Lonchura striata: one gene and its partners. The protein of the gene in region 1 purifies or fractionates together with the protein of each later gene. This does not show direct contact. Links are inferred from orthologs where the notes say so. Each region holds a gene or a part of one and is shown in the gene's direction. Other genes may lie near its edges. The genes, in order: EZH1, MTF2 and JARID2.

Region 1 (3,744 bases):
CTCCCAGGCTGAGCTGAGCACAGTAGAGGTGAAGGGGCTAAGGGAGCAGAGGGCTCCTGGTTCTGCCTTGGTCCTTGCAACCTGGAAGAGAAGTTTCTGAGCCAACACCAGCCCTGGGGGCAGACAAGTTCGTGGCAAACCCTGCTCAGAGATCCTTCCAAAGAAGGCCAGGAGGGGCCAGGCAAGCTGTCCTCCAGCACAGCTGCACTGGGAGAGGAGAGAAATACGCCAGGTGCCCTGTGGGGACTCGCCGTGTGCCAGACCCTGTGCCCAACCCCCTGGGGCCTCCGTGCAGCACCCCCGGCTGCCTGTGCCGCACCCGGGGGAGCACAGACAGGAGCGGGCAGCAGAGCAGCCATAGCCCAGGGAGCATCCTCATCCTACCGACAGCGGGATCCCAGCGCCCGGGCTGGGACTCACCCGGTCACCTATCCCGGAGCCCGGCCCGTCCCAGCGCTGGCGACCCGCTCCCGAGCCAATGCCCGGCAGGGCCGGGGGACACCGGGCCCCCGCCCCGCCTGACCCGGCGGAGCTCCGAGATGCGGGCGGGGTGCAGGGCTGCGGGCGCGGCCGGCCCTGCTCGTCCCCCGCAGTCACCCTGCCAAAAAGGTGCCCCGGGGCAGCCGGCAGCCGGCGGGGGACGGCCGGGGCCGCGCCGGGGCAGCAGCCAGCTCCGTCCGCTCCCCAGCGCCGGGGCCCCCGGGGCAGGAAAGCTGCCGCCAGCAGCCGCTTCCTGCCCGGCGCCGCCACTGGGAGGCCCGGCGGTGGGGCCAGAGGGACCCGGGACCACCGGGACGGCTCGTCGGGCAGCGCGCCCACACCGAGCAGGGCTGTCCCGGGACTCGGAGTGCGGTGGAACCGGGCGGGAACGGCGCTGCCGCCAAGTGCTTCCCGCAAGACCGGGCCGGGGCCGGGTGGGCCCAGGCACGCCGGGAATGGGCGGGCACGGCACCGAGCCGCCGCGTTTAGCCCGTTCCCCGCGGCCGACAGGGGTGTCCTCCAGGCTGGAACGGGTCCGCTCCGCCGGGGCAGGCCACGCGTCCCGGCCCCACCGGCACCGGCACCGGCACCGGCGGCGGCGCGGGGCGGGGCGGGGCCTGGGGTGTGAGGGGCGGGGCCTGGGGTGTGAGGGGCGGGGCCTGGCGATAAGAGGGGCGGGGCCTGGGGAATGTGAGGGGCGGGGCCTGGGTATGAGCGGGGAAGGGTGGGGCCTGGTGTGTGAGGGACCGGGGCCGGGCCGGGTCAGGGCCGGGCTGGGCCGAGTCGAGTCGAGTCGAGGCGGGCCCGGGGCCTGAGGCGGGCCCGGGGCGGATCGAGGCGGGGTCCGGGCCTGAGGCGGGCCCGGGGCGGGCCGGGGGCCGAGGCCTGAGGCGGGCCCGGGGCGGGCCGGGGCCGGGGCGGGCCGGGGGCCGAGGCCTGAGGCGGGTTCGGGGCGGGCCCGGGGCGGGCCGGCGCGTGCGCAGTGCGGCGGGGGCGCGCGGCCTCCCCCTGTCGCGATGGCCGAACAGTGAGTGCGGGCGGGGCCGGGGGTCCCGGGGGTAGCGGGTCCCCGTGGGACCAGCCGGGCCCCGGGGGCGGAGAGCTGCGGGACTCGGACCCGCTCCCCCGGCCCGGCGGCGCGGCCGGCCTCGGCTCGCTCCGCTTCTTGTTGGCGGGCGTGGGGAGCGCTCGGGCCCGGCTGGAGTGGAGCCGCGGCTCTCCGGCGGCGTGTCCCGGGGGAGGGCGGGGATCGCAGCAAGCCCCGGGCTCACGTGCTGCCCCGGGGGCTCGGGGAGCAGGACGGGCGGTTCTGGTCAGCACCGCCCCTCGCTGCTGTCCCGGGCCTGTTTCGGGCTGGAGGTGTTCCGCAGTCAGGAGCACTGCAGAGCTACGGCGTTATTTTGCTTGGTTTAGGTCTGTGATGCATAGAGTGTTTTTCCCATCCACAGGGGCGTTTTTCTAATACCACTTGTTTCGAGGTTGAGCTCTCCATTATTTAATGCTTATTCTTTCTGTACTGTTACAGAAAAATGGAAATTACCACTCCTCCGACATCCAAGTGTATCATGTACTGGAAAAGGAAAGTCAAGTCCGAGTACATGCGTCTGCGGCAGCTCAAGAGGTTCCAGGCAAACATGGGAGCAAAGGTACAGCCACAGCAAGGACTGGGCTGAGATGCACCAAAAAGCTTCATTTCAGCTCAGAGTGAATGGTGCCAGAGGGTGTCAGCAAGATGAATTGATAAGCTGTACTTGACTTGCAAGCTGGATCAATGGGAAGAGATGCCACTTCTGCTCGTGCTCTGCCTTGAGCTTGTGGGCAGCAGCTGGCACATGCACGAGGCCATTGAACAAGCACTGGTGTATCTGCAGCAGGAGAGCTGATTTCCAGCTGGTTTTTACAGGATCTCCTTGCTGAACTGTTTCAGTGCTGTGAGAGTTCTCAATGGGTTTTCTTAAATTTTGAGAGCTCCTTTCTCTCCTTTCAGGCTCTCTTTGTGGCCAACTTTGCAAAGGTTCATGAAAAGACTCAAATCCTTAATGAAGACTGGAAGAAGCTTCGAGTGCAGCCAGTGCAGCTGATGAAGCCAGTCAGTGGGCACCCATTCCTGAAACAGGTGTGCAGAGGAAAAGGGGCAGCATCAGCAAGTGGGGACTGCAGGGAGCTTTGGGAATATGGATGAGTTTTTGTCTGTGTTGTCCTAGATCAGTGTCAGGCCATGCCTCACACTTCTGGAATGCAGAAATGGACAAAAAGTACCCCCAAGGCTTTTCCCTGGATGGAGTCCACAGAGTGGATGTGGGGCTTCTGTATTTGTCCTGAATTCAGTTTTCCTCAGGCTGTGGCAGCCTCCCAGAGTGGTTCCTCACTGACCTTTTCTGTACTTGTATTCCAGTGCACTGTTGAGAGCATTTTCCCAGGATTTTCAAGCCAGACACTGTACATGAGGACCCTGAACACAGTGGCACTGGTGCCCATTATGTACTCCTGGTCCCCTCTTCAGCAGAATTTCATGGTACGTGGGAAGCGTGGGGTCTCAGCGAGGTCAGCATCTGATTGTTACACAGCTGGGAAGTGGTTCTTCATCCCACTTGTTTCAGGCAACATCTGCTTGAGAGATGATGAAGTGTTTCTTTAGTTGCTTGTTTTGTAGAATCCCAGACAGCCTTGTGTCCACACTACCTCACCAGGTAGTCTCCTTTACATGTGTCTTCTTGACAGAGTCACCATTGTTTCACAGAAATCAAGGAGTAAATATGTTTTTTGGGGGTTTTGTTTGTTTGTTTGTGGTTTTTTTTCCTAAGATTTTTATTTCCCTTTATATGAAGAGTTTTATTTCTTAGGCAGGTTCTTTCATTTGTGACTGGGTTACAATGGGATAACACTGATGTGTCAGTGATGAGACATCTGAACCTTTACTGTGCACCGTGTTGTTGGCAGACCTAAGGGACCAGAGCAGCCTTGGGCACAGCCTCGTTGGGGTCAGCAAACTCTGCTTTTCTGAGCTGTGTCTGATTTCTCTTCAGGTAGAGGATGAAACAGTTCTGTGCAATATCCCTTACATGGGCGACGAGGTGAAGGAAGAAGATGAAACTTTCATTGAAGAACTTATTAATAACTATGATGGGAAAGTTCATGGAGAGGAAGGTAACCTGGGAGCAACCAGCTCTGTCCACTCCAGGCCACATTGGATGGGGCGTGGAGTAACCTGGCCTAGTGGCCTGTCCATGGCAGGGGTGGAACAAGATGAGCTTTAAGATCCCT
Region 2 (3,744 bases), on another chromosome or scaffold:
ACTGGCCAGACTAAGCTGTACTCCAGTGGTCTGCCCAGGCTTCCCTCCCTGTGCCCTTTTCCAGGGATGACAAACTGCTCCAGTACCTTAGTTTCAGTTGCTTATCCCAAGAGGGAAGATGGCTTTGAGAACTTAGGCTGTTTGAGCAGGAGAGAGACTGGAATCCTAAATTCTCCATCCATTCTTCTGAGTTCAGCCATTCCTGAGTGACACCAGTGGGTGAAATCTGATCCAGGGCCGCTGGCACTCTGGTGTTGCACTGGGCAGAGCTGCACACAGCAAAGGCTGCTACAGGGCTAGGCCAAGCTTTGCAGTGTTTATAAACGTGGCATTGGGCCAATTGCTGTGCTTAACGATGCGGACTATAGACACTAGCCCAGTACTGGAGTCTGAACAACCACAAAACACAATGATGGAAAACAAAAAGGTATTTCCAGAACCAGATAACTGCTGGTGTTGGAAGGGACTTGTGGAGATCATCTAGTTAAATCTCCCTGCCAAGGCAGGGTCACCTAGAGCAGGCAACACAGAAACGTGTCCAGGTGGGTTTTGAATGAACCCAAAGGGAGACTCCATGAGTCCCTGTTCAGCCCGTTCCATTAGCTCAGCTAATACAGCTGCTGCTAACACCTGGAACTGAGGTTCAGCTCATCTCCTAAAATGGCAGCATCCCGATGTCGGCGCAGAGGAGCACACTGTGCATTCTGCAGCCTCCGGTACCGGGGCCGGGCCTGGCCAACCGCCGCGGCAAGAAGGCGGACCCGGGGTCATTCCAGACGGCAGGGCCGCCGCTCCAGGGCGGGATCTTTCCCCGGAGCCCGGCCGGGCGCTCCGCGGGGCCCGGGCCGCGCCGCATCGCCTCAGGTGCGGCGGGAACAATGAGCGCCCGGCCGCAGCGAGCCCGGCGGCGCGCACCGCTCCGCGCGGGCGCGCGCCTCAAATAGTCCCCCTTTGTTCACGGCGGCCGCGGCTCGGCTGCGCCCGTGTCCCTCCGCCGCGGCGCCCCGCGCCCGCCCCCGGCGCTGCCGGCGCAGGCGGGGCCGCCGGGGCGGGGCCGCGGCCCTTTGTGCTCCCAGAATGCACCAGCGCCTCCTCCGCGGGAAACAAAAATGGCGAGGGGCTGCGCTGGGGCCGGGCTGCCCGTGAGGCGGGTCTGACCGTCTCTCGCCGCCTTCCGCCTCGGGTCCGTGCCCGGGGGGCCCGCTGCGCGCGGACCGCCCGGCCGCACCGCGCCGCGCCGCCGGGGGAGGCTCCCGAGCTCGCCGATTTCCCTGTATGAGGCTGTTGGCACCACTGGGGAGACCGAATGAGGTGAGGGATGGGGGGGCGGCCGGGCCCGCGCGGTGGGGGGGGCGCGATCCCCGCAGGCCGGGCCGGCGGTGCCGCATCCCGGCCCCGCCGCATCCCGGCCCCGCGGCGGGGAGCGCGGCCAGGGGCCCGCTCCGGCGGGGAGCCCGAGGCCTGGGAGGGAGGGAGGGGGAGGGAGCTCCCGGGCGGCCGCCGGCAGGCGAATGTGAGGGGTCAGTGGTGCTCCTCGGTGACCAAAACAAAGGGAGGGAGGCAGCGGGCCGGTCGGCGGGGCCGGGGGCTGCAGCGGTGAGGTGCCATCAGCCTCGCGCCAGCTGTATTTTCGTCTTCTCCTTCAAGGATATTGTCCGAGTAGGCTGCGTTTGCTCGAGTGCGAAGAGAGCAGCACAAAGAGGTAGTGGTTTTCGTTGGTAACTTTGTGTTTGGGGCTTTTTTGTTTGTTTGGGATTTTCTTCTGTGGCTTTTTCTTTCTTCTTTTTTTTTTTTTTTTCTTTTGTTTATTTGAAGTGCCTCGCCTCTTAATTTCAGTGAGGTTTGACGATTTGGATGTGCACAGCAGGTTTTTAGTCCACTTAAATGTAGTAACTGTTGCTGGCTGAAAGGGTATGCAGTAATGCGTTTTCCTTTTTTTTGGTATTGAATTCTTTGGAAAGAATGGGCTGATACCTCTTGTAGTGAAAGAGAACAATATGGTTCTGTGCTGGATGCTCTGAACACTGATATTAGTGTTGAAATACCAAGGGTTGTCGTTCATCCATAGAGGATCAGGGTGCTATTAGAAGTAAAGGGCCTGCATAATTAAATGGAAGATTCTGCCAGGAAAGCAGTGTAGCATTATGGTTGTTTCTGGAATTTGTGATAGGCCTAGCTTATCATAACTTTGAAAGGTCAAACGCAGTAATGGATAATAACATGGCTTTCTCCTGACTTAATGTAAGGGAATGTGATCAATGATATACACTCAAACTGCCAAAAGTATGGGATAATAACAAAAAAGTTTCCCTCTTGTTTTTTTCCTTTTGATCTGTAATCGGGTGGGTAAAAGTTAACCTGGTAATGTTTGTCCTTTTTTTTTGGAGAGCTCAAATTACATTTAATTTGAAAGCATTTGAGATTAAAAGAAGAGGTGAAAATGTTTCATTTCTGTATTATTAGAACACAGGTTAATGAGTTCAGAGCTTTTCATTTAAAGGAGAATAAGGGAAAACAAAGATTGAACGTATGAAAGGAAATGCATAATACAGTGAAAATGAGAAGGGTCTTTGCAAGGAGCTACAAGCTGTGAAAAGTAGATCTGTGCTGAGAGTATAATGTAGTAATGTTTTCCACAGTTAACCCTTATTTTGTCAAATACACATGTGTGGCTTCTCAACAACTTGCCTTTTCTGTTCTGGAAAGAATTTAAAATCAGATCTAGACGCTTCTCATATGACTTAATATAGCTAATCAGCAGGGTATATCTATTTTTTTAATAGGTGAAAGAGACATGTATTGGTAGTTAGTATGAAGTTATGTTTGTCCTTCCCTGTACCAGGAGGTCAGGTAAAATTTATGAGAAGAGCAGCTGTAACAAATAAGTTCCAGTTAATTTCCTAGTGGACAGTGGACTTCAGTATTCCCTGGAGATGGATGTGAATTAATGTAGAGGCACTGAAGCATATTTTGTTCTCTTCATGTGAGTTGTAGAGAAGGAAGCTTGGAGATGTGACTAGAAGCCAGTATGAATCTTTGATTAGTTTGTGAATTGAACACATTTGTTGTGTGAGCGGCCACTGGCCTTGCTGCAGAGTTGGTTTCACCTTCTTCACAGGCCTTCCTTGCTGGAAATGGAGGGGAAGTGTGTCTTTGAGCAAAACACAACAGGAGAAGAATTATAAAACCACAGGTATGGCTGGAGAGATAATCTCCATGGAAGAGTGAAATCAAGGTGCTTAACATTCTTTGAGAGAAGGAGTGCTACTGATGAGAGCGTTCCTGATGACTCTGGACATACTTCATTAGCTAAATATCTTCACTTCTGTTTTAGATCTATTTATTTTTTTAATTCTTTGGAATGCTTATGGAGGTAGCTGTTCTTGCAGACTGACCTTAAAGAAGATAACTTATTATTTTGGTCAGCTCTGAAATCCTTTTTCTTTCCCACTTCTCCCAGAGCAAGGTAGCATATTGTCTGTTATTTCTTTCGTTGCTGGGGTGGGTGCTCACACTCCCTTAGGTCTGTTGTTGGAGGTACTGGATTTGGATACTGTAGAAACCCAAAAGGCAGTTGCTGTATTCACAGAGGTGCTGGGGATACAATTAAGTGGAATTTTGGTCGGAAAAGGTGTCTTGTGACCTTGTGACCCGGTACCATTGTTTTCTCCCTGTACCTTCATGTGCAAACACATGATCAACCCCAGACAAATGGCTCTTGCTGTACACAACTGCCCTGCCTTT
Region 3 (3,744 bases), on another chromosome or scaffold:
ACTCTCCTCTCTGCTTGCTCCAGCACCTTAATCCACCATTAAACCATTGCTGGGCTTTTGGCGAAGAAGGACATTCCACTTCCATAACGGTTTCCTTTCTTTATGTTTCAATGAAAGAAAAAAATACACTTTGAATTACTCGAGAATTGGAACTTGGGGATTTCACACCGACGCCCGGTCCAGCGGCAGAGCCCGCCGGGGATGGGGCAGGCGGGCAGGGCGAGGACCGGCCGCTGCTGCCGGGAAGCAGATTTGAGAGCACACCTCCACCCGCACAGAAAGGTTATTCCCGGGCGCGACCTCGGACACCCTGGAGACACCGAGCGGGTCTCGCACGGCGCAGTGTGTCCCGAGCTGACACCGCCCGCCCGGCAGCCACTCAGTCCGTCCGTCCGTCTGTCTGTCCGGCAGACCCAGACCACCGCCTCCTCGGCGGGCGCAGCACACAGACACGAAGTTTTCGGGCCGCCACTTCCCAGCCCAACCCAGACACATTAATCCCTGCGCTCTCCCTGCAGCCTCCCGCGGCGCCTGCCCGCCTCCCTCCTCCCCGTCAGCGATTCCCAATAAACTTCCCCCGCGCCCTCCTCCTCCTCCTCCTCCTCCTCCCCCTCCTGCCGTACCTCTGCCCCCCCGCTCCCAGCCGCTACCACCGAGCGCCGCGGAAGGGGGGAAGTTGGGGCAGACAAGCGGGAGGGGGGAAACCAAAGGGAGGGGGGGCGGGTTGGGGAAGGACGAGCGTGGCGAAGGGGGGGGGGGGGGGGTTCCTTGTCCAGCAGCCAATCGGCCGCCGGGCGCGCGGCGCACGCCGGGAGGCGTAGTTCTGCGCCGTTCGCCATTTTGTGGCGAGGGAACTACAACTTTCCCCACGAGCAAGGACAGTTCTGGGGGCCTGCGCGGCCAAACGTGGCTTTCAGGTGCTGCCTGCGCGGCGGGCCCCCCGTGCCTGTCGAAGCCGGGGGAGACGCGGCGGGCGCAAGGGCGGAGAGGAAGGACAGCCCTTGGCAGGCGGGAGGAGAGAGGAGGCTGCAGCGGGGCGGGGAGGGGGGCAGGGCACGGCGACAGAGCGTGCTGCGCTCTTGAGGGACCGTCGTCAAACTCCCCGCTCGGGTTTCGGCGTGGGGCTCGCGGCGACCTTGGCTGCCGTGTGGCCACGCTGAAATGCCGAAAGAAGGGAGGTGGGAAGAGTGGTGGGCTGTGGGAGAGGGAAGCGCGTGAGGCTTGAGCCGCATGGAGCGTGTAGCGGGGCCTGTTGCATGCGCTGAGCGCGGCGAGAGGCCGGGCGCTGCGGTTGCTGCCCCGGTTGGGAATTAAGGGCGAGCCCTAGGCGGTGTATGCATGTATGTGTGTGTGCGCCGTGTGTCCGTGTGTGTATATATATATACACACACACACGCATACATACATATATATATATACACACACACACACAGAGGTACACGCACGCGCGCGCACACGCACGCACGCAGACATAGATATTAACAACAGAGGAGGGGAGGAAAAAGGAGAAAAAAAAAAAAAAAAAAAGAGCCAGGTCCATTTAAAGTTGCTGGCGGAGAGCTGCTCTCATTGGCTAGGGGGGAGCTGGAGGAGCGGAGACACACACGGTGCGTGCAGCCCTCGCTGCCGCCGCCGCTGCTGCCGCCGGAGCCGCCGCTGCTGGAGTTGTCCCTGCCGCTTTCCCTGCTGCAGCGGCACAAACGTGACTTCCAACGTCCCGATTATTTATCTTCTCCTCCCGGCCCCTTTCCTCCTCCAAGATGTAACTACAGCTCTGACACTAAGGACCTGCAGATCGCTTAGGCGGCTTGAGAAAGAGAAAAGGGGATATCAAGGGCGTCGTTTTTTGTGTTTAGGGGGAAATTTTCCATTATAATGCTTCACTAAAGTGATTTTTTTGTTTGTTTCCTTCGCATTCGTCTTTTTTTTTTTTTTTTTTTTTTTTCTTCCGTCCCCCATTTCTCGGATTTATTGCTAGGAGAATCACATTGTGAGGAAAGAAAGTCGGATTACAAGATACCACTACAAACAACCCCCTCCCCCCTGGATTTTTTCGGTATTTTTTAATTTTTTTTTTAATTGTCTCGGCTTTAATTCATGAAGCAATTGTCCCCTTTTGCAATCAGAATTTGGATACCAGAATGAGCAAAGAAAGACCCAAGAGGAATATAATTCAAAAGAAATACGTAAGTGTTCATAACATACATCGTTTGACTCCCCGTTTTAGGAAATGGCAGTGAATGTCAAGTTTATAGCTAATCTTTCAGCTCTAAGGCTTTGGGAACAAATGTGATGCTGAATTTGATTTTTCTGTGGTGTGGTGGGGGAGTTTCAGAGGCCCCTTTTAATGGGGAAGCCTGCTATCCAGTTCGGTTATAAAACCAGATTTGTGTAGCGATTCCTCCAGTGAATAAATGTATTGACCTCAAATGACACAATCATAATCTAGTTTTAGATGAAACGCGAGGAGCTCGGGGGGCTGCCACGATAGTGTCACCGAACTGCATTTTCAAGCGATTTTCTTAATTCTGTGCTTTTGCATGCTAAAATAGGTTTATTGTTGGGGGTTTTTTTGGGTTTGGTGGTTTTTTTGGTTGGGGTTGGGTTTTTTCTTTTTCTTTTTTTTTTTTTTTTTTTTTTTTTAATTATCTACGTGTGTCTATCCTCGTCTGGTGAAGCGGCGGCGGTGGTTGTTGGAAGCCCTTTAAGTTGAAACCGAGTGTCTGGTTATGGCGAGCTGGGCTGGTTTCTCGCAGTACCACATCCCCTTCTCCTGTGTGCGATCCTCGGCTGCTCTGCCTTGCGATAGACACCGGAGCAGCCGGGGATCGCCTTACGGGCAGCGCGTTCCTCGGGATTGACTGAAATAATGAGGAAAATGGCTCGGTGCCGTTTTAAAAATAATTCATTATGTGGCTCGAAAATTTGGGCTAATCCAGCGCAGCCTGGGCTGTATTTCTGCCTCTCTTTATTCAGCCGCTTAACCAATCCCTCGTAATTGTCTAATCCTTTAAACATATAAATGTGGATGGGTAGTTGGATTTTTGTTCGTGCTCCAGTTACGTTTTGATTGGCACAGGACAGTTTTTCCCTACGTTTGGAAAAGCAGAGGGGATTATCCGTATATGCAGTAGAGCGAATAATGATTTTTATCTCCATGTTTAAACAAAAAAAAAACCACAGCACCAAATTTTGGGGGGGCGGATATGGGGAGAAATATATATAAATCCTCGCTTTTGGGCGTGTTTGATGCGAGGCTTTAAAAGTTGTAGTTTATATAGCTTCTTGTCGTCTGCGCCGATTTCTTTCAGCGGAGGGTGTCCCTTGGCAGGGAGGGTGACCTTCGGGACACTTTGCCTCGGTATTCTATAGATTTGGTAAAAACTGCAGTTGACTCCAGCTGACTGCCGCTATCGATTGCCTGCCCGGCTGCAGGGCTGCCCGGGGGAGGTGGTGGAACGATGTGTGTGTGTGGTTTTGGGGATGAAGGGGAGGGGGGGGGCCTGCGCGCTATGTCGAAGCTGCCCCTCTTCTCCTTTCCACCCCCTCCCGCACCCCCCTAAATTTCCGAATTAAAATACATCCGCATTGCAGAGGAGAGGGGAGCCCGGGGCCGGCGAGTTTAAAGTATGGCATCGAAACGGGAACGGCGGGTGGAAAGTCTGGCTAAACACGCGAGGCGTCCACGTTTCCCAGGCAGGCAGACAAAAGCGGGGTGGGGGGGAAGGAAACCGCGGTGTTATT

Evidence for each region.
Region 2: the proteins of EZH1 (region 1) and MTF2 purify together in Homo sapiens (affinity purification with mass spectrometry; 3 studies listed by BioGRID and IntAct, with this or other methods). This does not show direct contact. The link is inferred for Lonchura striata from reciprocal best matches to the Homo sapiens genes EZH1 and MTF2.
Region 3: the proteins of EZH1 (region 1) and JARID2 purify together in Homo sapiens (affinity purification with mass spectrometry; 4 studies listed by BioGRID and IntAct, with this or other methods). This does not show direct contact. The link is inferred for Lonchura striata from reciprocal best matches to the Homo sapiens genes EZH1 and JARID2.

What each region holds. Positions count from the first base shown.
Region 1 is NC_134627.1:6,234,958-6,238,701, forward strand, and holds the start of EZH1 (histone-lysine N-methyltransferase EZH1), read left to right. Parts: upstream 1-1,430; 5' UTR 1,431-1,496; coding exon 1,497-1,507; intron 1,508-2,005; coding exon 2,006-2,126; intron 2,127-2,467; coding exon 2,468-2,596; intron 2,597-2,875; coding exon 2,876-2,995; intron 2,996-3,506; coding exon 3,507-3,627; intron 3,628-3,744.
Region 2 is NC_134611.1:20,719,266-20,723,009, forward strand, and holds the start of MTF2 (metal-response element-binding transcription factor 2), read left to right. Parts: upstream 1-1,144; 5' UTR 1,145-1,306; coding exon 1,307-1,311; intron 1,312-1,651; exon of another isoform or gene 1,652-1,702; intron 1,703-3,744. UniProt on the Homo sapiens protein: Polycomb group (PcG) protein that specifically binds histone H3 trimethylated at 'Lys-36' (H3K36me3) and recruits the PRC2 complex, thus enhancing PRC2 H3K27me3 methylation activity.
Region 3 is NC_134603.1:89,554,638-89,558,381, forward strand, and holds the start of JARID2 (protein Jumonji), read left to right. Parts: upstream 1-1,522; 5' UTR 1,523-2,141; coding exon 2,142-2,186; intron 2,187-3,578; exon of another isoform or gene 3,579-3,696; intron 3,697-3,744.